Callithrix jacchus: one gene and its partners. The protein of the gene in region 3 purifies or fractionates together with the protein of the main gene of each other region. This does not show direct contact. Links are inferred from orthologs where the notes say so. Each region holds a gene or a part of one and is shown on either strand. Other genes may lie near its edges. The genes, in order: ATP2A2, MOGS, CANX, HSP90B1, GGH, LNPEP and LRRC59.

The links.
Region 1: the proteins of CANX (region 3) and ATP2A2 purify together in Homo sapiens (co-immunoprecipitation; 3 studies listed by BioGRID and IntAct, with this or other methods). This does not show direct contact. The link is inferred for Callithrix jacchus from reciprocal best matches to the Homo sapiens genes CANX and ATP2A2.
Region 2: the proteins of CANX (region 3) and MOGS purify together in Homo sapiens (affinity purification with mass spectrometry; 3 studies listed by BioGRID and IntAct, with this or other methods). This does not show direct contact. The link is inferred for Callithrix jacchus from reciprocal best matches to the Homo sapiens genes CANX and MOGS.
Region 4: the proteins of CANX (region 3) and HSP90B1 purify together in Homo sapiens (affinity purification with mass spectrometry; 4 studies listed by BioGRID and IntAct, with this or other methods). This does not show direct contact. The link is inferred for Callithrix jacchus from reciprocal best matches to the Homo sapiens genes CANX and HSP90B1.
Region 5: the proteins of CANX (region 3) and GGH purify together in Homo sapiens (affinity purification with mass spectrometry; 3 studies listed by BioGRID and IntAct, with this or other methods). This does not show direct contact. The link is inferred for Callithrix jacchus from reciprocal best matches to the Homo sapiens genes CANX and GGH.
Region 6: the proteins of CANX (region 3) and LNPEP purify together in Homo sapiens (affinity purification with mass spectrometry; 3 studies listed by BioGRID and IntAct, with this or other methods). This does not show direct contact. The link is inferred for Callithrix jacchus from reciprocal best matches to the Homo sapiens genes CANX and LNPEP.
Region 7: the proteins of CANX (region 3) and LRRC59 purify together in Homo sapiens (affinity purification with mass spectrometry; 3 studies listed by BioGRID and IntAct, with this or other methods). This does not show direct contact. The link is inferred for Callithrix jacchus from reciprocal best matches to the Homo sapiens genes CANX and LRRC59.

What each region holds. Positions count from the first base shown.
Region 1 is NC_133510.1:113,257,679-113,260,073, reverse strand, and holds part of ATP2A2 (sarcoplasmic/endoplasmic reticulum calcium ATPase 2), read right to left. Parts: coding exon 2,278-2,395; intron 540-2,277; coding exon 454-539; intron 176-453; coding exon 42-175; intron 1-41.
Region 2 is NC_133515.1:38,737,344-38,741,276, reverse strand, and holds the start of MOGS (mannosyl-oligosaccharide glucosidase), read right to left. Parts: upstream 2,801-3,933; 5' UTR 2,667-2,800; coding exon 2,315-2,666; intron 2,150-2,314; coding exon 1,923-2,149; intron 1,449-1,922; coding exon 1,252-1,448; intron 1,027-1,251; coding exon 1-1,026. UniProt on the Homo sapiens protein: In the context of N-glycan degradation, cleaves the distal alpha 1,2-linked glucose residue from the Glc(3)Man(9)GlcNAc(2) oligosaccharide precursor in a highly specific manner.
Region 3 is NC_133503.1:71,938,439-71,941,938, reverse strand, and holds part of CANX (calnexin), read left to right. Parts: intron 1-292; coding exon 293-434; intron 435-897; coding exon 898-979; intron 980-1,480; coding exon 1,481-1,673; intron 1,674-3,500. UniProt on the Homo sapiens protein: Calcium-binding protein that interacts with newly synthesized monoglucosylated glycoproteins in the endoplasmic reticulum. It may act in assisting protein assembly and/or in the retention within the ER of unassembled protein subunits.
Region 4 is NC_133510.1:106,891,293-106,894,792, reverse strand, and holds part of HSP90B1 (endoplasmin), read right to left. Parts: intron 893-3,500; coding exon 814-892; intron 725-813; coding exon 569-724; intron 204-568; coding exon 81-203; intron 1-80.
Region 5 is NC_133517.1:19,003,022-19,006,375, reverse strand, and holds the end of GGH (gamma-glutamyl hydrolase), read left to right. Parts: intron 1-1,099; coding exon 1,100-1,237; intron 1,238-2,476; coding exon 2,477-2,598; 3' UTR 2,599-2,854; downstream 2,855-3,354. UniProt on the Homo sapiens protein: Hydrolyzes the polyglutamate sidechains of pteroylpolyglutamates. Progressively removes gamma-glutamyl residues from pteroylpoly-gamma-glutamate to yield pteroyl-alpha-glutamate (folic acid) and free glutamate.
Region 6 is NC_133503.1:113,669,841-113,673,909, forward strand, and holds the start of LNPEP (leucyl-cystinyl aminopeptidase), read right to left. Parts: upstream 2,801-4,069; 5' UTR 1,991-2,800; coding exon 1,972-1,990; intron 1,444-1,971; exon of another isoform or gene 1,278-1,443; intron 1-1,277. UniProt on the Homo sapiens protein: Release of an N-terminal amino acid, cleaves before cysteine, leucine as well as other amino acids. Degrades peptide hormones such as oxytocin, vasopressin and angiotensin III, and plays a role in maintaining homeostasis during pregnancy.
Region 7 is NC_133506.1:115,940,030-115,943,433, forward strand, and holds part of LRRC59 (leucine-rich repeat-containing protein 59), read left to right. Parts: intron 1-2,588; coding exon 2,589-2,762; intron 2,763-3,404.

The DNA of each region.
Region 1 (2,395 bases), on a different chromosome or scaffold from region 3:
ATTGGCACGCTCGCCCCAGCCTGCTGTGAAGGTGCACTAACCTGTTGAGGGCGTTACACATTTCTATGGTTACTAGAACAGAGAGCGCCATTGTCATCGGGTATGGGGATTCAAAGATTGCACAATCCACGCCTTCAAAATCCGGGTTATCCTCTTTACACTGTAGGAAATGACTCTGCAACAAAAATCCAATCAAACGCCTATCAGCCCAGTATATTTCTCAAGTCCAGGCACCAACTCCATACCAAGACTAGCACAGACCAGCCCAAGAGAAGAGCCAGCCAAGGGGTTGACCCCAACTTCCCAGAGAAGCCCTGGTCCCTCAGAATCATCTTAGATGTAACTGCTTATCATTTAAGCCTTAAGATGATTTGATAGACACCCAAACCACAGAAAGGTCAAGGCCTCACAACACTTCTCATGTAAGGAACAAAAAGAAAGGTGGCTGAGTACCAGCTGGTAGAAGGACACTCTCGGACCGCCATCAGCAGCAATGAACCACCATGCGGCAGCACCCACGGTAGCAGCGCCGACGTAACCTGGGAACAAACATGATGCTGAGGCACTTGCCTCTGCCACTGCAGGGCCCACTGCCACCAAGGCCACAGAGGCCAATCCACATAAGGAAGAAGATCAAAGACATGGGATGGTAATAACATATCACCAGAATCTGTGGTGCTACCAGCAAACTGCTCATGCCTGGCAGCCAGAGCAACTAAAGCCTGGTTTCTGAAGGACAGGGATATTTCTGGTACAGAAGAACTGGGTAATTTTTCCTCTACAATGTGTGAGAAAAAGCAACTGCTGAATCTTGTGCCAACCTTTACCCTGGCTGTGCCTTCTCCCCTAAGGGAGCAGTACTTCAAGGCTGCAAGTGTGTATCCTCCAATGTAAGGCTAGATAACACCATGACTTCTGGGCAAACTAATGCTGCCTAGTTGTACACGAATTTATTTGCTCCATTAAAGGCCCAGCAGCAGCTTTCTAGGGAAATGCTGTCAGGAGCTAGGGTAGAACACTGAGCAGCATGGCCCTGGCCTCAGCAGCTCCTGGGATTCCCCCCAACATTAGCGTTCAGTTCAGGAAGTTTACTGCAAAGAAGCAGCTAGGTGCAGCAAAGAATACACAGAATTCAGATGAGGTGAATATCCCCATGTGGCAGCATCAAAAATGACAAGTGGGGCCGGGCATGGTGGCTCACGCCTGTAATCCCAGCACTTTGGGAGGCCAAGGTGGGTGAATCACGAGGTCAAGAGATCGAGACCATCCTGGTCAACATGGTGAAACCCCGTCTCTACTAAAAATACAAAAAATTAGCTGGGCATGGCAGTGCGTGCCTGTAATCCCAGCTACTCAGGAGGCTGAGGCAGGAGAATTGCCTGAACCCAGGAGGTGGAGGTTGCGGTGAGCCGAGATCGCGCCATTGCACTCCAGCCTGGGTAACAAGAGCGAAAGTCCGTCTAAAAAAAAAAAAAAAAAAAGACAAGTGCATATACCCACTAACCCAGTAATTACAATGGAGCACGAAGCCCCTGGCTGCAAGGATGAGGCACTATGCCTGTCCCAATGTGGAAGGATCTGACAAGCAGGAAGACGTTGAGACAAAGTCATGCAGCATGCACAGCATGCTGGAATCTCTCTGGAAGGGCACAGGGTACATGAGCTCCTCGATGCCAGAGGGAAGTGACTGGCCCAAAACCTTTCCACTTTATGCCATCGTGTGCTTTTTGAATTTTAAGTTGTGTGAATATATTATGAAAACACGCCTTCCTATGGGATTTGCAGGGAAGTGATTTCGACTCACTTTCCCAATCTTGAATTTGATTGGATTGGAACCAGCACATGGGGGAGGAAGATGATGGCTACAGAGATGATTCATATACAATAGGGCCTAGCCACTGCACAACCCTTCTCTTGCTTATGGAAACAGGGACTAAGCTTTATGTCTTGGTGACAATTATCTATTCAAATCCCGTCTATGAACTCTTAGAAGGCAGAACCCAGACTGAGTCATCCTTATCCCTTTGTACACGGGCCTGATGTTTAATTGCTCATTCACAAAAGCCCAGATAAGGGCAGGATGCTAAAACTGGAACTAACTGAAAGGACTTTAGTAAATTGGGTGTATAGTTCATCAAACTGTAAGAGGGCATCCTCCATCTTTTGCTACCCTATATGGGGACAGAAGAAAAAATAGGTTTTTAAGAGATGAGTTTACAAAATTTCAGCTCACAAACATTTCGTTTAAAAATCAGCAATATAAAAAACTGTACTCACAGCCAATAGCCAAGTAACGGAAAAAGAGCCACCCGCTGATCAATGGTTCCTTTGGGTTCCGGGGAGGTTTATTCATGATGTCCAGGTCAGGAGGGTTGAACCCCAGTGCAGTGGCAGG
Region 2 (3,933 bases), on a different chromosome or scaffold from region 3:
CGCAGGTCCAGGTGCCGCTCAGCAACTGAAGGGTGTGAAGCCCGGGGGTAGTCATCCAGCCCAGAGGGTAGGGTCTTAGGGTTCAGTAAGGTTGGTAAGGCAGGGTCCCGTCCCCGCCAGCGGTAAGACAGTGGCACTGGGCCTGCCTGGCTCTGATGAAGCCAGGAGAACCAGGCATGCAGGCGGGGGAAGGCCTTTTGGAGGAAGGCCAAGTCGTCAGGATCACCACCCTCTAGCATGTGGGCAACAGGCAAAAGTAGGGTTGGGGGGTTGGCGTGGACTGTTCGTTGCACCAGGAATTCTGGAGGCACCCGGGCTCGGGCCTCATCCCCCAGTATCTGCTCCCTCCCAATCCAGCCATCAGCATTTAGCAGGCCCAGCCAGTGACCAAGGGCTTCCCGAGTGAGGTAGGGATCCCACCGCTGAACCACCAGCTGGTGAAAGCCCTCATCCCAAAGGAAGCCTCGTGGGAAGAATGACCGGGAGGGCACCGCTGTAAAAAGAGGTACAGGTGGAAAGAGGGCTGGGTCCACCTTCTGCTCAGACTCTTCCACCCCCATGTCTGGCAATACCAGCCCTTGTCCATAGAAGTAGCCAATTCCACCAAGGAGACCGCTGAGGGCAACCTGACCCAAAGCTTGCTCGCCAGGGCTCAGGCCCTTCTCCTTCAGATGGAAGGTTTTCTCAAAGCGCTCTCTAAAGGCTTCAGCATGGCTCTCCAGGGTCTGGGTCAGTAGACTGCCTGCCAGTCTTGGCAGGGCTTGATTTCCTCCTGCTTGGGCACTACCTGATTCAAACACAAACTCTATAGAAAAGGGAACTTTCAGGGTCACCTGCTGTATCAAGAATTGCCCCTGCCCTTGCCCACTTGGGCCTCTGTCCTCCCACTTCAGAGATCCTGGCAAGCCAAGGTAGCGTTCAGGGGAGGCCCCTGGGGACCTATGCTGAAACCAGCTATTTAGGCTATTCTTTACCATCTCTGTCAGCAGGGGCAATCCTGGGTTGGATGTCCAGAAGACATTGTAGCTTGAAGGGAAGAAGATAAATAGAAAATATTCAGGAGAAGGCAGTGGTCATTATAAAGAGAAATACAAAGTGCTCAGGAGTCAGGCTGGGTGGTCTCAGGCAAGGAACATGGAGACTGGTGAAAATGCAAATAATTGGTAGAAAGAAGGTAGGGTGGGGGAGACAAATCAAAGTCAGCATCAATACCACCCCTTCCATCTCCCAACATTGTCTTCCCCCAATTACCTGCCATACTTGGGGGTTGTATCCCCTGGACTTGTTGGTGGCATAAGTGTAAAGCGGAAGTCACCAAGTTCACTGGTGTGCCCACTGATGAACTTCAACTGCCCCTTGGCTTCAACCTCTGGTAGTAGGACTTCCTTGCCATCTGTCACCACATAGAAGAATAGGGAGACCAAAGGGAGGGCAGAGGTATTCGAGGCCTGAGTGATCAAGGAGGACAGAAAAGAACAGGGTTAGACTGGCATTCTCTCTTGAGAATCAGCCTTAGTAAGGGAAAGGAACAGCAGACAGGGGAATTGTAAACAATATACCTCTGGCAGTGCTGAGGGTCACTGAGAGTAACCACGTACACCCAAATGGGATGAAATAAAACCAGACTTGCACTGGTTTCCCTGCGCGATTACAGTATACTTTTGTGTTATGTCCTACACTAAGACGTCTATACAGTTTATTTAACTTAATTCTTACAATTCTTTGAGTTAGGTGCTTTATCTACATTTTACAAGCAAGGAAATCAAGGCTTAGAGATGTAGAGTTGGTCATACAGGCAGTTGTCTAAGGCAGGATTTAAGCCAGGCAGCCAGTCTTGGAGCCCACTTCATGCTGCATTTGCTGGCAGCAAGGGAAGGATGGAGGGGGTCTGGGCTGAGGAAAGGGTGTCCTGAGGCCCTGACCTGAGGCTCTACAGTCACTCTCCAGCTCCAGTCCCCTCCGTGCTGACCCCCAGGCCTCTTGACGAACTCAGTGGTGAGCCATAAGGCCCCATCCTGGATGTGCTGCCGCCCGAAGGAGAGGCCGTCGTGGAACTCCCAGCCATAGGGACCCACACCGTCCCCCTGCTCACACGTGTGCCTGAGCTTAGGAGTCCCCGGGGTGGTGCCCTGCTGCACCCACATCAGTCCTGGGGGTAGAATGGCCACGTAAGTCAAAGAGCAGGGGACCTGTTCCTCCGGGTCATCCCTCTTCGTAACTCTCCTGATCCATTCCTCCCCACCCTTGCTCTGGCTTCAAGCTGGGGAGCCCAGATTAGGAATCCGCCTGCCCGCCCGCCTTGGAGCCCGGTTACCGGTGAGGAGGGGCTTCGGGCTGCGAGTCTTCATGCCGAAGTAGACGTGAGGGCGGTAGGTTCCCCAGAAGAGGCCCGGGGCCACGGCGGGGCTGGAGGAGTTGGCGGGCAGCGCAGGAGGCGCGGAGTGTAGCGTGACCGCCCGCCGCGCACGGTGCCACGCCAGCACCCAGCGCCCGAACAGGCCCAGGGCCAAAGACAGGACCACTATGGCCACAGCCACTCCTCCAGCCGTGCTACGCGGCGCGCCGCCCCGGCCGTCCCGTCGCCCGGGGCCTCCCCGAGCCGCCCTCTCGGCAGTCCGCACTCCCTCTGCCGGCACTGCGCGGCGCCGCCGCTCGCCCCGAGCCATCTCGGTCCGCGTCGCGAGAGCTCGGAAAGGCGGCAGTGGAGCTCGGTTTCTACCTCGCCTCTCCGGCTCCCGCCTCTCGCTTCGCGGACCGCAGTCAGATCAGCTACACCTGCCAGTCCGCACTTCCGCCTCCCGCCGGCAGTCCCGCCTCGCCACGTCATGTTGGTCCCGGAGTCCGGAACTGCTTCCTACGATTTTGCGTAGGGTTCGTGCGCAGCGTCTGTCCTGGGCGGGGATCCGCCGGGGCTGCGCTTATCTGGCGACTCCATGGAGTTCACAGGCTCAGAAAAATCAATCTACCACTGGCTTGTTTTTTATTTTGTTTTATTTTATTTTTGAGACGGAGTTTCGCTCTTGTTACCAAGGCTAGAGTTCAATGGCGAGATCCCGGCTCACCGCAACCTCTGCCTCCGGGGTTCAAGCGATTCTCCGGCCTCGGCCTCGCGAGTAGCTGGGATTACAGGCATGCGCCACCACGCCCGGCTAATTTTGTATTTTTAGTAGAGACGGAGCTTCTCCATGTTTGTCAGACTGGTCTCAAATTCCCGACCTTAGGTGATCCGCCCGCCTTGGCCTCCCCAAATGCTGGAATTACACGTGTGAGCCACCTCGCCCGGCCGGCATTTTTTTTTTTTTATAACGATTATATATTAGGAACCTAAGTGTAAAACACTATCTCAGGTGTTTTACATTTAACCACCCCGTGAAAATCAGGGGCAGGAAAAGTAAACTTGGTCCGGGCCATACAGCTGGAAAGTGGCTTGCTTGGAACCCACATATATCTGAATCAAGCTGGATGAGTTTGCCCACACCGGTGCCTTCTTTCCTAATGGAGTTGAGAGTGCAGGAGTGGACCCCAGAGGAAGCCTGGGTTCTGTTCCAGCTGTGACTTCAGACAAATTGTGTTTCCACTCAGTCTGGGATTTCTTATCTAGATGAACCCTAAAACAATGATAGTGGTGGTGCAAGTACTTACAGAAGGCATTTTCCTCTCTACAACCCAGAAGGCAGAAAGGATGGTTTATATCCAGGTCAGAGAAGGTTGTATGTAGAATCTGTAAGTCAGATTGACCTAGAATAGGATAGTGAACATTACTTTATTATTTTTTTTGAGACAATCTTGCTGTCTCCCAGGCTCTAGTGCAGTGGTGAGATCTCAGCTCACTGCAATGTGCCTCCCGGATTCAAGCGATCTTCATGCCTCAGCCTCCCGAGTAGCTAGGATCACAGGTGTGGGGCACCACACCTGGCTATTTTTTTTGTATTT
Region 3 (3,500 bases):
CTGGCCCTTAATTTTTGTGTTTTTAGTAGAGATGGGGTTTCACTGTGTTGACAGGCTGGTCTCAAACTCCTGACCTTGGGTAATCCACCTGCCTCAGCCTCCGTAAGTGCTGGGATTACAGGTATCAGCCACCACGCCTGGCCCAGTATAATAGATTTATACAACTCAGAGTGGGGTTTTTTTTGCGGGAGGGCGGGTGGGTTTTTTTGTTTGTTTGTTTGTTTGTTTTTGCTATTTAAAGGGTTCTCAGAGGCAGAGTTAAGGAGTGGAACTTTTTTGTATTGTCTTGTAGGAAAGTGGGAGGTAGATGAAATGAAGGAATCAAAGCTTCCAGGTGATAAAGGACTTGTATTGATGTCTCGGGCCAAGCATCATGCCATCTCTGCTAAACTGAACAAACCCTTCCTATTTGACACCAAGCCTCTCATTGTTCAGTAAGTGAAATACTTGTTGGATAAAAGCTTTCTAGAAAGGGTAATGTTAGAAGACATTATACAACTTTTACTCTGTGTTAAAAATTATTTTGCAAATAGTGATCAGATAAAAAATGAGATTATATAGGTTGTGTTAGGGATTTTTGGGTGAATTTAAACATCTTGTAATTAATATTTTTTCCTGCCCAAAAAATTATTTTGAAAGAAACTGATTACTCATTTTCCTGACTAAATGAATTGCAGATTGTGCAGAACATATTTACTGGAAATGTGCATTAATGTTCAGTTTATTTATTTTTGTGGAATTTGGTAGCTATTTAAAAGCAATAGAAGATGGAATCCTTTGTAAGGGTAAACATTTGACCTATCATAAAACATGACGAAGATGAGGGAACAAGTACGTTAAGAGAGTTTAGATCTTTCAAAATGCCATACAATTTTCAGCTTTTCTCTCTGATATTAGGTATGAGGTTAATTTCCAAAATGGAATAGAATGTGGCGGTGCCTATGTGAAACTGCTTTCTAAAACATCAGACCTCAACCTGGTATGTAATCCCCATTTCTGGAATGTGGCTGGACACCCACTATTACCTTGTAAGAATTATGTAATTTTGTAATACTTGTGAAAAATAAAGGCTTCCTCCCCTGCTTTTTAACTCTTTTGATAAGTTGGGAATATTGACTTTGACATTAATGTGCTTTCTATTTGAAGTGTGACTCTCTAAGTTGTTACCAGCTGTTTTTATCTGAATTTCTGATTTTGCTTCTGTGTAAGTTTTGGTTTTAGCAAACTTATTTTTTTGTTTTATGAGAGAAGCAATAACTATCTAAATATGTGTATTTTTTTTTTTAAGTACTTAAATATGTTATTTTAAATTTACTGATGATTACTGATTATTCCTTTTCACTAAGCCTTATAATTAGCTTTTTCTTTAACTGTCACCAATATATTTGGAATTTTATAAGAATTATTAGACACTTTTGAAATGTTGCTTTTGAATACTTTGACTAGAGTGGTTTCAAATAAACCTTTTTTGCTTCTGAAGGATCAGTTCCACGACAAGACCCCTTATACGATTATGTTTGGTCCAGATAAATGTGGAGAGGACTATAAACTGCACTTCATCTTCCGACACAAGAACCCCAAAACGGGTATTTATGAAGAAAAGCATGCTAAGAGGCCAGATGCAGATCTGAAGACCTATTTTACTGATAAGAAAACACATCTTTACACACTAAGTAAGAAAAACCATTCGTTTGGGGGCTTATGGCATTACACTTATATCATCCATTTAACTTAAACATTGTATGTCTGGCTGGGTGTGGTGTCTCACACCTGTAATCCCAGCACTTTGGGATGCCGAGGTGGGTGGATCACCTGAGGTCAGGAGTTCGAGACCAGTTTGGTCAAAATGGTGTAACCCCAGCTACTTGGGAGGCTGAGGCAGGAGAATTGTTTGAACCCGGGAGGGAGCCAAGATTGTTGTGCTACTGTACTCCATCCTGGGTGACAGTGAGACTCCGTTTCCAAAAAAAAAAGATTGTATATTTAGAGAGTACACCAGCCTGCAGATAAGAATCTCGGCCAGGTGTGGTAGCTCACACCTGTAATCCTAACACTTTGGGAGGCCAAGGCAGGTGGATCACTTGCAGTCAGGAGATTGAGACCACCCTGGCTAACATGGTAAAACCCCGTCTCTACTAAAAATAGAAAAATGAGCTGGGTGTGGTGGTGCATGCTTATAATCCCAGCTACTTGGAAGGCTGAGGCAGCAGAATTACATGAACCCAGGAGGCAGAGGTTGCAGAGAGTTGAGGTCGTTTCACTGCACTCCGACCTGGGCAGCAGAGCAAGACTCTGTCCACCTCCACCAAAAAAAAGAATCTCTTCACTTAATATCTTAGTTGGGAAATGAGTTTAATTTGTCAGCATTAAAAGAAGCTCCTTGGCCAGGTGTGGCGGCCCACACCTATAATCCTAGCACTTTAGAATGCTGAGTCGGATGTAGGCTGAGTCTCTAGTCTCTACAAAATATTAAGAAATTAACTGAGTATGGCGGCGTGTGCCTGTAGTTTCAGCTACTCAGGAGGCTGAGGTAGGAGGATTACTTGAGCCCAGGAAGTTGAGGCTGCACTGAGCCATGATCTTGCCACTGCACCATAGCCTAGGTGACCGAGTGAGATGCTGTCTGGGAAAAAAAAAAAAAACTTCTTTTCCACAGGAACTGAGGTTTGAGATATTTTTAAGAATAGGTATTTTTAGCCAGGTGGCGTGGCTCACACTTATAATCCCAGCATGTTAGGAGGCTGAGGTGAGCAGATCACTTGAGGTCAGGAGTTCAAGACTAGCCTGGCCAAGATGATGAACCCTCATCTCTACTAAAAAATAAAAAAATTAGCCAGACGTGGTGGTGGGTGCCTGTAATCCCAGTTACTCAGGAGGCTGACCAGGAGAATAACTTGAACCCGGGAGGGTGGAGTTTGCAGTGAGCCAAGACCTCGCCATTGCACTCCAGCCTGGGCAACAGAGTGAGACTCTATCTTAAAAAAAAAAGAAAAAAAAAGGATGGCTGGGCTAAGTGGCTCACTCCTGTAATCCCAGAACTTTGGGAGGTTGAGGTGGGTGGATCACGAGGTCAGGAGTTTAAGACCAGCCTGGCCAAGATGGTGAAACCCCATCTCTACTAAAAATACAAAAAAATTAGCTTGGCATGGTGGTGGGCACCTGTAATCCCAGCTATTTGTAAAGCCCAGCCCGTAGGCTGAGGCAGAGAATTTCTTGAATTTGGGAGACAGCGCTGAGATCTGCCACTGCATTCCAGCTTGGATTGACAGAGCAAGACTTCATCTCAAAAATGAAAATAGTAGTAGGTTTTTTTATATCCTATAAAGAACTTTGCTGACCTACCTAATTTCTTCCCCCCTTTTTTTGTTGATAAATGTTGAATAATAAATTATATATACAGTTATACATAAATCCAATAAAAATAGACAGTTTTTCAGAAGTATCTTGTAATTGAACTTCCAAGTTTGTGTATAATTGTCCAATACCTGGACACTTGACAA
Region 4 (3,500 bases), on a different chromosome or scaffold from region 3:
CACAGTCTGACTTCTATAAGTTACACAGTCCTAACTTTGTAAGAACTGAAAATGCAAGTCACATTCTTGATTTGCTATACCTTTGCTGTTTCTTGTTCTTCTTCATCTGTTCCTGCATCCACTTCTTCGTCTTCATCTTGCTCTGTGTCTTCTGTTGTGTCCTCTGTTGTCTCTTCAGGTTCTTCTTCGGGTTCTTCTTCCACCTAAACACAACATTTATGGGCCCATTAATGCTGTGGATTTATTGCCACTTTGCTCATTTCGATGTCTAAAATCATAATTAATGTCACTTCGATTTATTCAGAACCAGAGAGTAAATCCTCTAACTAGAATGAATAGTCAAGCTAATGAAGGGAGGCAGGCAAAAAGGAAAGAGGACATAGAAGGACTTAGTTTCTAATGCAGTGCCCAAGACTAGAGGGATTCAAACATTCAATACAATTATTTCAAAAGGTAGAAATTAGGCAAATGTCTCAAAGCTACATCCCTCAATCATGAGAAGCCTATTCTGAAAGAGCAGAAACAAAGAAAGCCAGCCAGCCTCTGTGGAAAGGTTGGGGATACAAACCTTTGCATCAGGGTCAATGTTCAAACTGAGGCGAAGCATTCTTTCTATTCTATCTCCATATGCTTTAGTGTCTGGTAAAAGATATCCTGACCGAAGTGTTGCTGTTTCAAATAAAACCACAGCAAGATCCAAAACTGTTTTATCATCTTCATCTTCCTGAGATGCAAGAAGATACACCAGATTAATATTAAAAGATACAAAGTATTTAAATTAAAAGATAAGCAAGAGGACTCCTGTAACACTACCTTAATTCGTCGAAGCATGTCTCTGATCAGTGGGTGTCTGGGGTTAATTTCAAATGTTTTCTTCTGACTTGCATAGTAACTGTTAAGAGATAAAAATGAACATTAACAAAACATATCCAATTTTAGGGTTCATACATTCCCCTTATTCTTTCATAAATACAGAGAACAACTTTTGGTAAAAAAATAAAAATGTATTATTGACACAACACCACAGGTTTGAACTTTGAGGGTCCACTTATATGCTAATTTTCCCCCAATAAATACAGCCCACCCTCCTGTAGCAGACTCAACAACCAAACTCGGATAGAAAATACTGTATTCTTGGGATGTGAAATCCACACATACAGAACTCCAACTCTTCATATACTTGGGTTCCACAGGGTAGACTGGGGACTAGAATATGTGTGTGGATTTTGGCAGGGGTCCTAGAACCAATCCCCCTTGAACACCTAGGGACGGCTGTACTTTTCCAGTCCACTTCATCTGCAGAGTTAACCAACCTTGGATTAAAAATATTAGAAAGGACAAAACAAAAAATAAAAAGCCCAACACAGTGTAATAGCTATTTATATAGCACTTACATTGCATTAGGTGTTAATCTTCAGATTATTTAAAGTATATGAGACGATGTGCCTAGGTTATATGCAAATACAACACGACTTTATAAGAGACTTGACTATGCGTGGATTTTGGTATCCATGGATATCCTGGAACCAATACCCCAGGATACAAAAAGGGATGGCTGCATTGTTTTCTTAGTTTTTGTGGAGACAGGGTATCATTATGTTGCACAGGCTGGTCTTGAACTCTTGGCCTCAAGTGATCCTCTCACCTCAGCCTCCCCAAGTGTTGGGATTATACATGTGAGCCATATGCCCAGCCTGTATTGCTCCCTTTTAATGGGGAGGCAGGCAGGGGGCAAGTGGACATGGTTAGATGAAAAATGAAATGAAAGGAATTATTTATTGATGAGTCCAAGGTACCTAAGAGAACACCTGAACAGATGAACTGACTTAATGTCCTGTTTGTTCCCTCTTAGTTTATTCTTACTGCCATAATTGCAGCTCTGCCTCCCAGAGTTCAGAAATATCTATGTAGTCTCTGGGTGCTGCTCCAATAATACCTTCTCTATGATGCCTTCACCAATATGATTCCAAGAAAAATTAACTTTTTATCCGAACTCAGTTCCAAATGCATTTTGAATATACCTTCAAAATCCTCAGCATTTTACTGCTCATTGTGATTATTATCTCTTCTCTAGTTTAAAGCTCTGAGGACACAGAGGAACCACATCTATCCCTATCCTGTCATACCCATTATCTATGTAGAGCCTGGATTATGACTTGATTTGTCTTTTTTTTTTTTTAAAGAGACGGGGTCTGGCTATGTTACCCAAGCTAGAGCTAAAGTGCAGGGCCATTACAGCATACTACAGTATTGAACTCCTGGGATCAACTGATCCTCTTGCCTCAGCCTCCTGAGTAGTGGGGACAACAGGAGTGAGTCACCATGCCTGGCTTTGATCTGTCATTTTTACTAGTCTGAAGTTACAAAAGACAAGAGTTATATCTACTGACATAGTAAGCGTTTGTATTTGTTGAATGAAAAGTAACTTCCTGTTAATTAATCATTTCCTGAAATTCATAGGTGGACATGAAATTTATGGTCAAGACCTAAGACTTATATGAATTTTGGAATTATGACAACAATGGAAACTACGTTTGTGAGAAAAGGCTTTAAAAAGAATCCTTAAACTAGGCCTTAGGGAAAAAAGGATGATTACTAGATAGCATATCAGAAACACACCCAGGTCAAAGAGAGTAAAAGCAGGGAAGAAGTCATTTTCAAGGTCATTTCTGTGACATTAAAACATAAACATAAAGTACTATATTTCTTGAAAATAAAAGCTACCAAAGACTTATTAAACCTCCAGGTATAGGCCCTTGAGTTGAAATACTGTTAATTCACAGGTCGTGTACTATTCAAGAGACATTCTGTCTGGGTACCTATAATTTAATGCTTGGGGGTGTGGAGGGCATGATTTGAAATGAACTTAATTGAGAAAGGTCATTAACCTCCTGTGCAACTATTACATTTGAAAATGTAAAATAAATTCAGATATGAGGCTAAGCATATAATCCAATGCAAAAGTAAAGACAGTATCAGCTGGGCACGGTGGTGCATGAATCCCTGCATTTGGGAGGCCCAGGTGGGCAGATTACAAGGTCAAGAGATTGAAACCATCCTGGCCAACATAGTGAAATCCCGTCTCTACTAAAAATACAAAAACTAGCTGAGCATGGTGGCGCGTGCCTGTAGTCCCAGCTACTTGGGAGGCCAAGGCAGGAGAATTGCTTGAACCGGAAAGGTGAAGGTTGCAGTGAGCCGAGATTGCACCGTTACACTCCAGCCTAGTGACAGTGAGACTCTGTCTCAAAAAAGAAAAAAAGAAACAGTATGCATAACAGATTTAAGAAAAATCCCCATTTATATATCAAATACAATAAATATGATAAAGTCATGAGTCAAAGACCTTTTCTTTCTCAATCGAATGTAGGAGAAATCACGTTGTAAATTTGTTGTCTTCCTTCTAGTAGACAGGGGTAGACATTTAAGACAATTTTACTTTTTGTATTGAAGCTGGTATTATCTCCAAAAGGAAGAATGGGTAAGAGCCAACACCCTGG
Region 5 (3,354 bases), on a different chromosome or scaffold from region 3:
AGATCTGCCTTTCAGTTAACTGTGTGTAACTGTTAATTTCCTAGTCTTCCAGCCTGTGGGTCTCTTTCTCATAGTTTCACATGTAGTCCCAGAACAGAGAGAAAGAAAGGGCAGTGTCACAGGGAAGTGGGGAGGCAGGGAGCTGAGTGCCTGGAGTTGCATGAGGCAGGTGTTTCTTCTCCTGAACACTCACAAAGCTGGGATAAAATGTTTCCCTTCTGTGGCCTGCTCTTTAGTCAGAAAGCTTGCTGAGATGAGAATGGTCAGTGCTTATACCCCTACATATCTCATATTCCATTAATTCTCTTTATTTCTCTAAGTACTTTCTGATGGTATTCATGGTTACAATTCCCAAGCAAAAAGTAACAGAGGGGAGATTTTATTTAATTTTTTCAAATCAAAATGAGGAGAGGCTTCTCTGAAGAAGAGATAAATATGTGCATTTTTCCAAAGGTAACTATTATATATAGTCGCGTTTTTTCTTGAATTGTGGAATTGTTCATGTGTATGTAAAAGTAGAGTAATATGACCCCTGGGTGTCTGTATCACCTTCAACAATTGTCAACAGTTTTGTGTCCCTTCTTGCTTCATGTCTACTTTTAAACTTTTTAAAAGTATTTAAAAAATTTATACCACAAAGTCATCAGTCATTCCATAGACTGATAGAGACAGTTTAGGCTGGGACAGACTGGCTTGTGTGGAAGGACACCAGAAGGGCTGTCATTATGGCAGGAGGGGAAAGCATGCTGTGAGACGGGGGAGAAAGAGGCGCATTGTGGAAGAAACTTGTATCACCAATAAAATGTGCACCTGACTTTTGGAAGGGGATAGATTCCTCAGCTCAGTTTTTACTGTGCTATGAACATCTTGAAAAGCAAGTTGTACTACAGATTGTAAAAGTTTGCTAATCAGTGAAATGTGTTACTGGGAATTTTCACATTGAGTGTGAGTGGATATTTTGTGTCTGAGAGAGTGTGAACAATTTACGTTATCTTCTATTGTGAGTTATAAAATGTTTTACATAAGACATAAACCAATTTCATTAGAAGTAACATCTTAAACCATTCTTAGTACTTACTGATTTGCGTTCTTCCCACAGGATATAAGTATCCAGTCTATGGTGTCCAGTGGCATCCAGAGAAAGCACCTTATGAGTGGAAGAAATTGGATGGCATTTCCCATGCACCTAAAGCTGTGAAAACTGCATTTTATTTAGCAGAGTTCTTTGTTAATGAAGGTAATATGAGGGTACATAATGTCATTCTGTGGTAGTTTTGAAGGAAATTGCCCTCATCTGAACTTTTGCCTACCTTTTTGCTATATAGGTGTTTTCTACGTGCTGTAGGTTTATCTTTAAAGAATAATAAAAATGTTAAATAATGTGAAAGCCCTGAACTTGAGATATTAGGTATTGAGATATTAGGTATTCTCATGAAACCAGGACAGTTACTTCCATTAACAGTATCATACATACTTGAGTGGGCAGAATTCTTGAACAACAGTAGGAAGAATATTGAGGGTTTTTTTTTCTTTCTTTTTCTTTGGTGTTTTTGTTTTATTTTGTTTTTTGACAGGGTCTTGCACTGTCACTGAGGCGGGAAGGCAGTGGTGTGATCATATCTTATTGCAGCCTCAAACTCCTGGGCTCAGGGGATCCTCCTGCCTCAGCATCCTGAATAGTGAGACTACAGGTGCACACTACCACGCCTAGCTTTTTCTTCTTGGATAGTTTTTATTTAGATTTTTCCCCTTATTCTCCATTTTTTAGAATAATGCTTTAATTATAACAGTCTCTGAGAATTAGATGTTACTTTTCCAAGACGAGGATACAGATTGAACATATGCCCACCAGGTCGTGATTTTAAGGCTACCTGTCTATAGGCATTAGCATACTGGAGAAAGCTAATAAACTCTGCCTGCTTTTTGGTGATGAAAACACAGACATAATCATGCTGTGTTCTGTTTGTGGGCAAAATCGAGAATTTGGCTGTAGGTGCTTATTTCTTAGTTGAGCATTATAGGTCCAGTAAGTCTTATGACTTTAAGCAAAACTTCCCTTCCCCTTCCCTCCCCATTTTCCTTCCCTTCCCTCCCCCTTTCCCTTTCCCTTTCCCTTCCCTCTTCCCTTCCCTTCCCTTCCCTCCCCTTCCCACTTCCCTTCCCTTCCATTCTCCTTCCCTTCTCCTTCCCCTTCCTTTTCCTTCCCTTCCCCCTTCCCTTCTGCCTTTCCTTCCCTTCCTTCTTCCCTCCCTTCCCATCTCTCCCTTCTCTCCCTCTCACTCTTTTTTTGGAAAGCAAGTTTATTAGAGAAGTAAAGAAATCAAAAGGATGGCTGCTCTATAGGCAGAGCAGTTGCATTTTTCTTGTTGGTATTTTCCCACGTAATAATACTGATTAGAGGAAGAAATGTTAAAAAGTAGTCTTGTGAAGATTTTATTATCTGATCTTTTTAAAAATTAACTTTTTTTTCTTGCAGCTCGGAAAAACAACCATCATTTTAGATCTGAATCTGAAGAGGAGAAGTCACTGATTTATCAGTTCAGTCCAATTTATACTGGAAATATTTCTTCATTTCAGCAATGTTATATATTTGATTGAAAGTATTCAATTCGTTAACAGAGCAACTTTGAATAATTCTATGATTAAACTGTTAGAATAACTTGCTACTCATGGCAAGATTGGGATGTCACTGAATCTTTTCTATAATGTGACTGGCTCTGATTCTTCATTCAGCATGTGACTGTTTATATAATGTTTCATAACTAAACAGTGAGACATAAATAATCAGTGTTTTTCATGGAAAAGCTTTCTTATATCTGAAAATTGGAAAAAAATAAATTTAGTGAAATACAAATATTTTCTCTAATTGATTTGCTTTGGAAACAAATACCATCCCCTACCTACCCACCCCATCCTCCTGCTGAAAAAGAAAAGAATCTTAAAATCCTACCACTTGTTCATTGTGATGTCTCCCTCTTTCGGATCTCAGGAGTATTTGTGTGTGTGTGTGTGTGTGTGTGTTCGCGCGCGCGCGTGCAGGTATGTGTGTATAGGTATGTGTGTGTGTATCTACTTTTCTGCTGTGTTAACTTCACATTTAAAGTATACACATCCTGAAAGCAGAGTCTGTGTCTTCAACTTTTTTTTTTTGAGACGGAGTTTCGCTCTTGTTATCCAGGCTGGAGTGCAATGGCACAATCTCAGCTCACCGCAACCTCTGCCTCCTGGGTTCAGGCAATTCTCCTCCCTCAGCCTCCTGAGTAGCTGGGACTACAGGCACGTGCCACCATGCCCAGCTACTTTTTTGTATTTTTAGTAGAGACGGGGTTTCACCATGTTGACCAGGATGGTCTC
Region 6 (4,069 bases), about 42 Mb from region 3:
AAACACTAGAAAATTCTACAATTCTTCAAGTTTTCAAATAAATACCCTGTCCATCTTAAACTTGAAATGCACTTCAAATTGCTAACATCGAATTTATTGTTGACTGTAGATGTTGTCACTTCTATTTTCCTTGTAAAAGGATGCTAAATAAGGTTCCAAAGAATGATTGCTACGTTAACCAAAATTATGCACTGCCAAGCTGTCTCCAGCATCAACTCTGAAAGACAGATAGGAAAGAATCAAAAATACAGTTTCCTACATGAAAGTCGAAGCATTGCTTCTTTCTTTGTTCTCTTCTGTGGGATTTTTCCATTGTCCTCCCAAATGTGACAATTTGCAAATACCCATATCTAGAAGCATATTCTATGAGAGAAAAGACCCCAGTTTTGAAACTCGAAAAAGTGCTTTAATAATTGTAAGCAAAGGTTCAGCAAATCAGCTAGCACTAATCTTGACCAAATGGGTGAGTCAGCCTTGTCACAGAGATATTTAACATTTAAAATCCTACAAACATGGTAACTCCAAGCATTCTACCAAGAACAAAGAATAAACCCTTGAATAATCACTTGTAAGGACTAACAACTTGTATTTAACATATTTTACACTGAAGTACTAGATGGTCTCTATAGTTCCTTTTAGCTCAAACCTTCCTTAATTTTTCGAGTAACTTCACCAGACTATTCTTTGAGTCTTAGTAATTACAAATAGGACCTGAATGAGAAAGAAAATTCAGAATTAAAGTTCTTATCAGTAAGCCTAATTAAACAGTACAGACAGAAAGATGGCAGTAGAATAAAGCATTCTACATTAGGAGAAGGGAGAATATAATCAGTAGTTCGCAGCCCCATCAATGAAGCGCAGCATACAACAAAGTCTGGCTGGGATTTGGGATATAATGGACAATATCTGTCTGCCCTTGGGTGGCAACTAACATACCTATACAGTGATAGACAGTGGAGCCTTTGAAAGCGATACTCCACCTGAAGTAACCAACCACCCTCAGGAAAACATGTCAAACCAGAGAGTGAATCCTCTAATTTTAGTGAGTTGTTTCCCTTACTGGCAGTTTTCCTACTTTCTATCTTAAAAGGAAATCCACACACTCAGCGCCGCAAAATGGTAAAACATCTCACCCCTATATTGTGACTCTGGCACCTGTGGTCAGAACAAAAGCTATCGTTTTAACTAGGGTAGGATTTATGCTCCCGGTTCAGTAAAGGGCAGTGGCTACCGGCAGGGTGCAGGCAGGCTCCCTGCGTTGACTCTCGCTTCCTGTCACACTGTGGTTATCACCGTGACGGACCCTTGACATTAACAAGTCTTCGACTGAATAACTGATGGGACCTGCAGCCGGTGAGGGGGAAGCATGGTGGCCCTGCGGAGTGCCTTGGCGGGGCCAGGAGGATGGCACTGCGGTCAGGCATCTCTGAGGCCCCGAGTCGGGTGAGCGAGCCTTTCTTGAAGTTTCCCTTCCTTCCACAACAAGCCTCCCACCCTCTCCCCCACCCCCGCCCTGGTAGGAAAAGTCACACCGGCAGCTCACTGAAGGGCAGTGGGACAGCTCCGGGCGCCCCACAAAAGTTGGGTTGGGCAGCGGCCACAGCTTAACGCTCCTGCAGGAGTCGGGCCGACACCGCTTCCTCCCGGGGCAAACCTGAACTGCCAACTTTCCCGATGCCCACTCCTCTGCGCGCAGCAGCCCAAACTTTGAGGTTCGCCCACCGGCCGCACCCCGGGCTTGCGGCGGCGGCGCTGACCTTCACGCGAGCCCGGGGCCCAGCAAAGGCCGCCGCCCGCCCCCCCAAGTCCCATTTCCCTGCCTCCCCAAGATCCCATCTCCCTGCCTCCCCCAGCCCTCGTGGTAAGCCGGCGGGGGGAAGATGGCTGCAGCCCGACTCCGCGTGTCACGACTGCCCACGGCCCTCGGGGCTCTAGAGAGCCCGTGTCCAGGTGCCTCGGCCGCCCACTCACCATTGGTGAAGGGCTCCATTTTACCCCCGCCGCGGCTCCTCACAGCCCGAGCGCCCGAGCTTCCTACTCCGAGAGCTGAGGCGGCCCTGCCGACTGAGCATGCCCAGCGCGGCCTCGGAGGGCTGCCGGGGAGGTGCCGCGAGGGGCGTCGCCGCTCCACTGCTCGATGGTTCCGCCGTTCCGGGTTTTCGCGGCGGCTGCAGAAAGAGCTAGGAAGCTAGAGGGAAAAGCACAGTCCGACCCCCGGAGGCTCCGCGGAAGGGCCAGGAAGGAGCGGGGTTCGCGTTGGGGGCGGGGCCTGGGGCGGGACCCGGAAAGTCCCGCCCCTACCTGAAGCGGCCCTGGCTGCGGCGCCCTCCCGGGAGGGGAACCAAGTTCAGTCACTCAACAAATGCGGGGCCCTACTGCGACCCGCCCGATCCTGGACTCCGAGCCACGTGCACTGCGCCGGAAAAACAGGGTCCCAGTCCCAGGAACGGTCATTCCAGAAACAGATCATAAATAAACACAGAAGACACACCAGTGTAAAGTCAATGCCCTGCTGCGCATTAAATCGAGTGATGTGATGCCCAGTGAGTGGGTAGCTAATTCGGATGGCGTGGTGAGGAGATGCCTCGCTGAGCAGGTGCCACTGAAGCCGAGGTCTGAAGGCAGAGCAGGAACCTGCGGGCGAAGGTCGCTATCCAAACTGCGAATCGCCGGTTTCCTTGGGGAGATTAGCCGCGGAGGGATCACTTCTCCAAGGACGGAGGGAGCGGGCGCTGTAGATATTTTCTGCAGAGATGTCCGCCCGCAACCGACTGTCCCTTGCGGGTGGTGGGGAGGAGACGGAAGAGAAGGCGGGGACCCTGCTGGGCCGAGGGCGCCCAGGAGTCCAGTCCCCCGACTCGCGGCTGCGGGCGCGGCCTCTAGGTGCGGGCGGATGACAAAACCCGGCGCCGGATCGTCCTGCCAGGGCCGCGGACGCAGCAGGATGTGGGCAGAAGGCCCGCCTGTTCCGAGCCTTAAATCAACACCTGCGGTTCCCGGGGTGACACCGCTGGGGCCCGCAGCGAGGCTCCGCGGTGCTAGGCCCGAGAAACCGAAACTTCCCTAGTCACCTCTGCTCCCTGGCACTCTCGCCATTGCCTCTAGCCCCAAGCCACCATTGTTAACAGTGCCAAATCGGACAGCCCCTGTAACCTCCGGGGCCGAACCGCCAAGGGCCCCGCGAACCCCGAGAAGGCTGGTCGGGGCCCGCTTCCTTTTCCCCCTTTCGGTGTGCGCATAGCCACCACCCTCGCCGCAGAGGCCACCGCCCTCCGAGCACGCCACCACCGCCTCCTCTGCCTCTTCCCATCCCTCAGCCCCGGCCCCTGCAGCGACTTGGCTCGAGCTGCACCTCACTGCGCCTGCCAACTGTCACACGCTCCGAGGCTGTCAACAGGGTGCCAGGGACAAACAAGCCGCGGCGAGCGCAAACAGCCTGAGCAAAGAGGGACGGTCAGGGTGTTGTTTGACCAGCACTAAGTCAAAGTGCAATACTGTATTTTAAACTGTCTATTGTATTACATCCCCCACAATACGCGCCTACTTGAAACTTCCAGCGGATACCAGCTACACTTAGAATAAAAATGAAACTCCTTGCCCAACTCTGGGTCCGCATCAGCACATGCTTACCATGTTTTGGCCACAGAGGCCTTCATGTTGTTCTTGGAAGTCGCCAAGTTCCATCCATCATTGTTAATCATACCTTTTGCACGCTCCTCGCACAACTGTTTCTTCTGCTTAGTGCTTTGCCTACTGATTCCATCTTGTCATTTATGTCTCGGCTCAAATGTCACCTCTGCAAAGAACCCTTCTCTGACTATACATGTAAAATAGCCACAAACACGGTCTGCACTATAAAGCCTTGGCTTTGCTTTATTTCCTTCTCAGCACTCACACTGTCTGAAACAATGTTTTGAATTTGTTGTTTATTATCAGCCTCCCTCTCAAGAATGCAAGCTCTGTGAGAGCAGAGTCTTTATCTTTTTTAAGGCTGTATCACCAACGCCTGGGTAAGTATACAGTAAATAATTTTTGCATGAATAAGTGAATGGACGTAGTGGTGTTGAGA
Region 7 (3,404 bases), on a different chromosome or scaffold from region 3:
TATTTCATCTCTGCTTGGAGGGCTGATAGGCATTCATGTGAAATGTGGCTAAAGCAGATTCCTGATTGCGCTTCAGTCCCTCCCAGTGTTGCCTGTAGTAGGAGATCACTTTTCCTGTAGTTATTCAAGCCTGAAGTAGGAAAAGATGTTAAGACTCCTTTTTTTCTGTAATTCCCATATCCAGTCTGTCAGCAAGTCCCATATGGGACTGTTTGTCCACCTCCAGTGTCATCTCTAACCAGCCACCATTCTGGGACCGCCACAGCACCTTCCAACATGTCTCCATGACGGTGCGGTCTCCTTAAACTCATTGTCTTCACAACAGTCTGGGAGACTTTTTAAAAACATAAATAATTATGCTGCTACTTTCTTAAAACAAGTGGCATCCCACTGAACTTAGAATAAAATTATACTCATTGACAAGGCCAGTAAAACCCACCTTGGCCCCAGCTTGTTTGCCTGCTCTCCGCCAGCCTTGCACACACCAGTGAGTCTGCGCCGTCAGCTTCAGTTTGAATACACCAGCTGCGGTCTCACTTGGGCTTTGCTGCGTGTCCTTTTCCCTTAGTCCCTACCTGCTGGCCTCATGACCCCACATGTCTGCTCAAGCGTTGCCTTAGGTTAACCATAATGCTTTTAGACCACCGGACTAGAGTAACCTTCCTACCTGTCACTCTCATACCCTCTGCTAGTTTCTTTCTTTCTTTTTTTTAATTATTATTATTGTTTGAGATGGAGTCTCACTCTGTCGCCCAAGCTGGAGTGTGGTGGTGCAGTCTCAGGTCACTGCTATCTCTACCTCCTGTGTTTAAGCCATTGTCCTGCCTCAGCCTCCTGTAGCTGGATGCAGGTGCCCCTCTGCTAGTTTCTTTATGGCACAGATCACTGTCATCTTTACGTTCACTTGTTTGTGTGTCTCCTCTAGAGAGTAAATGAGAGAGACACTGGAACGTGACCTGTATTCTCCACTCTGCATCTCAAGCACTTAGAATAACTCCTGGCACATAGTAGGTTTTCTATTGACAGGCTGGCTGATTTCTGAGCCCCTCACTGGAGGACTACTGTGGTTCAAGAAGGGATGTGTACAGTACTGATTACAGGCAGTCCCTGAGGTCACGATGCCCAGATCCCTTATGTGGCATGGCCACTGTGGCAAGACATGGCTGTGCTTCCTCTGACCCCTGCTGCCTTCACCTCCCAGTGGCCCATGTTCCCTAGAGGCTGGGTGGTGTGGTTCTTGGCATTCCTGGTGCCCAGCTGGAACTCGGAGCTTGTTTCTACATGGAGAAGCAGTGGAAAGCTACAGTCTTACAGTACTGCTATTCAGCAACATTATGGCTCAGATAGGCTATTAAGCCCTAAAAGGACATTTAACCATCATTTGTGGCATTCTGGCTTTAGAAAAATGTGCTTCAGACTTCCAAATAACTAATTTGGAAATGCATTTTTAGAACCCAATGATTTGGAGGTTGTAATTTGGAAGTTTGTAAACATGCTTGAACTGCTGAGTAAATCTGAATGTGTACCTGTGTTCAGTTCTCAGATTCATGAGTTCAGGTCTAGAGGCTACTCTGACAAACTGTTAGGCTTATTTGTTTTTTAAGAACAGTCAAGTGCAGGCTGGTCCGAGTGCAGTGGTGTTTACAACTAATTGATCACAACCAGTTAGAGATTTTCTTCTTCCTTCTCCATTCCCACTCCTTCAGTTGACTAGCATTAAAAAAACACAGCAAAACAAACCAGTCTGTGCAGTAGTAAGAAAGTAGACTCACTTTTTTAGAACAACGTTGCCATTGTTACTTTTTTTTTTTCTTTTCTATTTTCTGAGGCAGTCTCACTCTGTCACCCAGGCTGGAGTGCAATGGCACAATTACCATTCATTGCACCTTCCACCTCCTGAGTTCAATCAGTCCTCCCACCTCAGCCTCCCAGGTAGCTGGGACTACAGGCATGTTCCAGCACACCTGGCTAATTTTCTCATTTTTTGTAGAGATTGTCTTGCCATGTTGCCCAGGCTAGTCTGGAACTACTGGCCTCAAGTGATACTCCCAACTTCACCTCCCAAAGTGCTAGGGTTATAGGCATGAGCTACTGCTCCCGGCCTCGTTGTTTCTAACCCTAAACTTGAGTGTTCATTTTCTCTTCTCACTGTCCCCCCATGCCACATTTATTTCTGAAGCTTGGGAAGATAGAAGTCCTATAGAAAACTGCCATGTTTTTTTCTCTTCATAGCTGAGTTCTAGAAGGCTATCAGTTGGTATCTGAGTTCTGAGTTAGTACCTAATTCTAGAGGAGCACCACTTAACCTCCATGCCTTGCTTAGGTCCTCCTTGTTATTTTACCCTAATTTCTCTGCTGCTTGAGGATAGGAACCTTGTAAACAGAATCATTCAGCAAACCCTGAGAACAGCTTCTTTTAGGGAGGGCTACTTCCAGGAACAGAAAGATGGCTGTTGCCTTTGACTATTTCTTATGTGATCCATGGCACCAGGGTAAAGGTGGCAGAATCTATACTTTTAATCACTTGGGAAAGCAAACTGCTGGAGTGTTTGTGGGAGAGAAGTCAAGTGTTGGTGTGTTTGTTATAGAGGCAGAGAAGAAGCGCGAGGCCAAGCAGCGAGCTAAGGAAGCCCAGGAGCGGGAACTGCGGAAGCGGGAGAAGGCAGAAGAGAAGGAGCGCCGGAGAAAGGAGTACGACGCCCTCAAAGCAGCTAAGCGGGAGCAGGAGAAGAAACCTAAGAAGGAAGCAAATCAGGCCCCAAGTAAGTTTGCTGTCTGTCGTAAGGTTCCAGCAGGGGTGCAGTGGAGACACTCATGTTTCTGGGCATAGATGACTGAGTGAGCAGCCCTGCACACCTTAGTCAGATAAATCACACTAAAGCCTGGAAGTAGATGGGAGGGTTTGGTTACAGGGAATGGAGGACTCTCCTCTAGGGAGCTAGTGTCCAGCTGGTTTGTTTCCCTAGTGCCCACATACTTCTGTTTTGGTCAGATGTGTCTTGGAGCATTCCTGGAATAGAGCCTTACTTTTTGTAGAGGTGAGATTCTAAAACCATTGAGATATGCAAAGATCACAAATGGTCAAGTTTAATCTTAAAAGTCCCTCACAGCCAGGTTCCGTGGCTCAGGCCTTTAATCCCAGTGTTTTGGGAGGCTAAGGTGGGAAGAGATCACTTGCGCCCAAGAGTTCAAGACCAGCCTGGGCAACATAGAGAGACCCTGTCTCTACCTAAGTTTTTTTAAAATTAGCCAAGTGTAGTGGCACACAGCTGTGGTTCTAGCTACTTGGGAGGCTGAAGCAGGAGGACCATTCAAGACCAGCCTGGGCAAGTGAGACCCCCCTCTGCTTGAACACTGAAGGAATCATTTGGCCTGAATTCAGGGAGCCACATTGTACAGAAAAC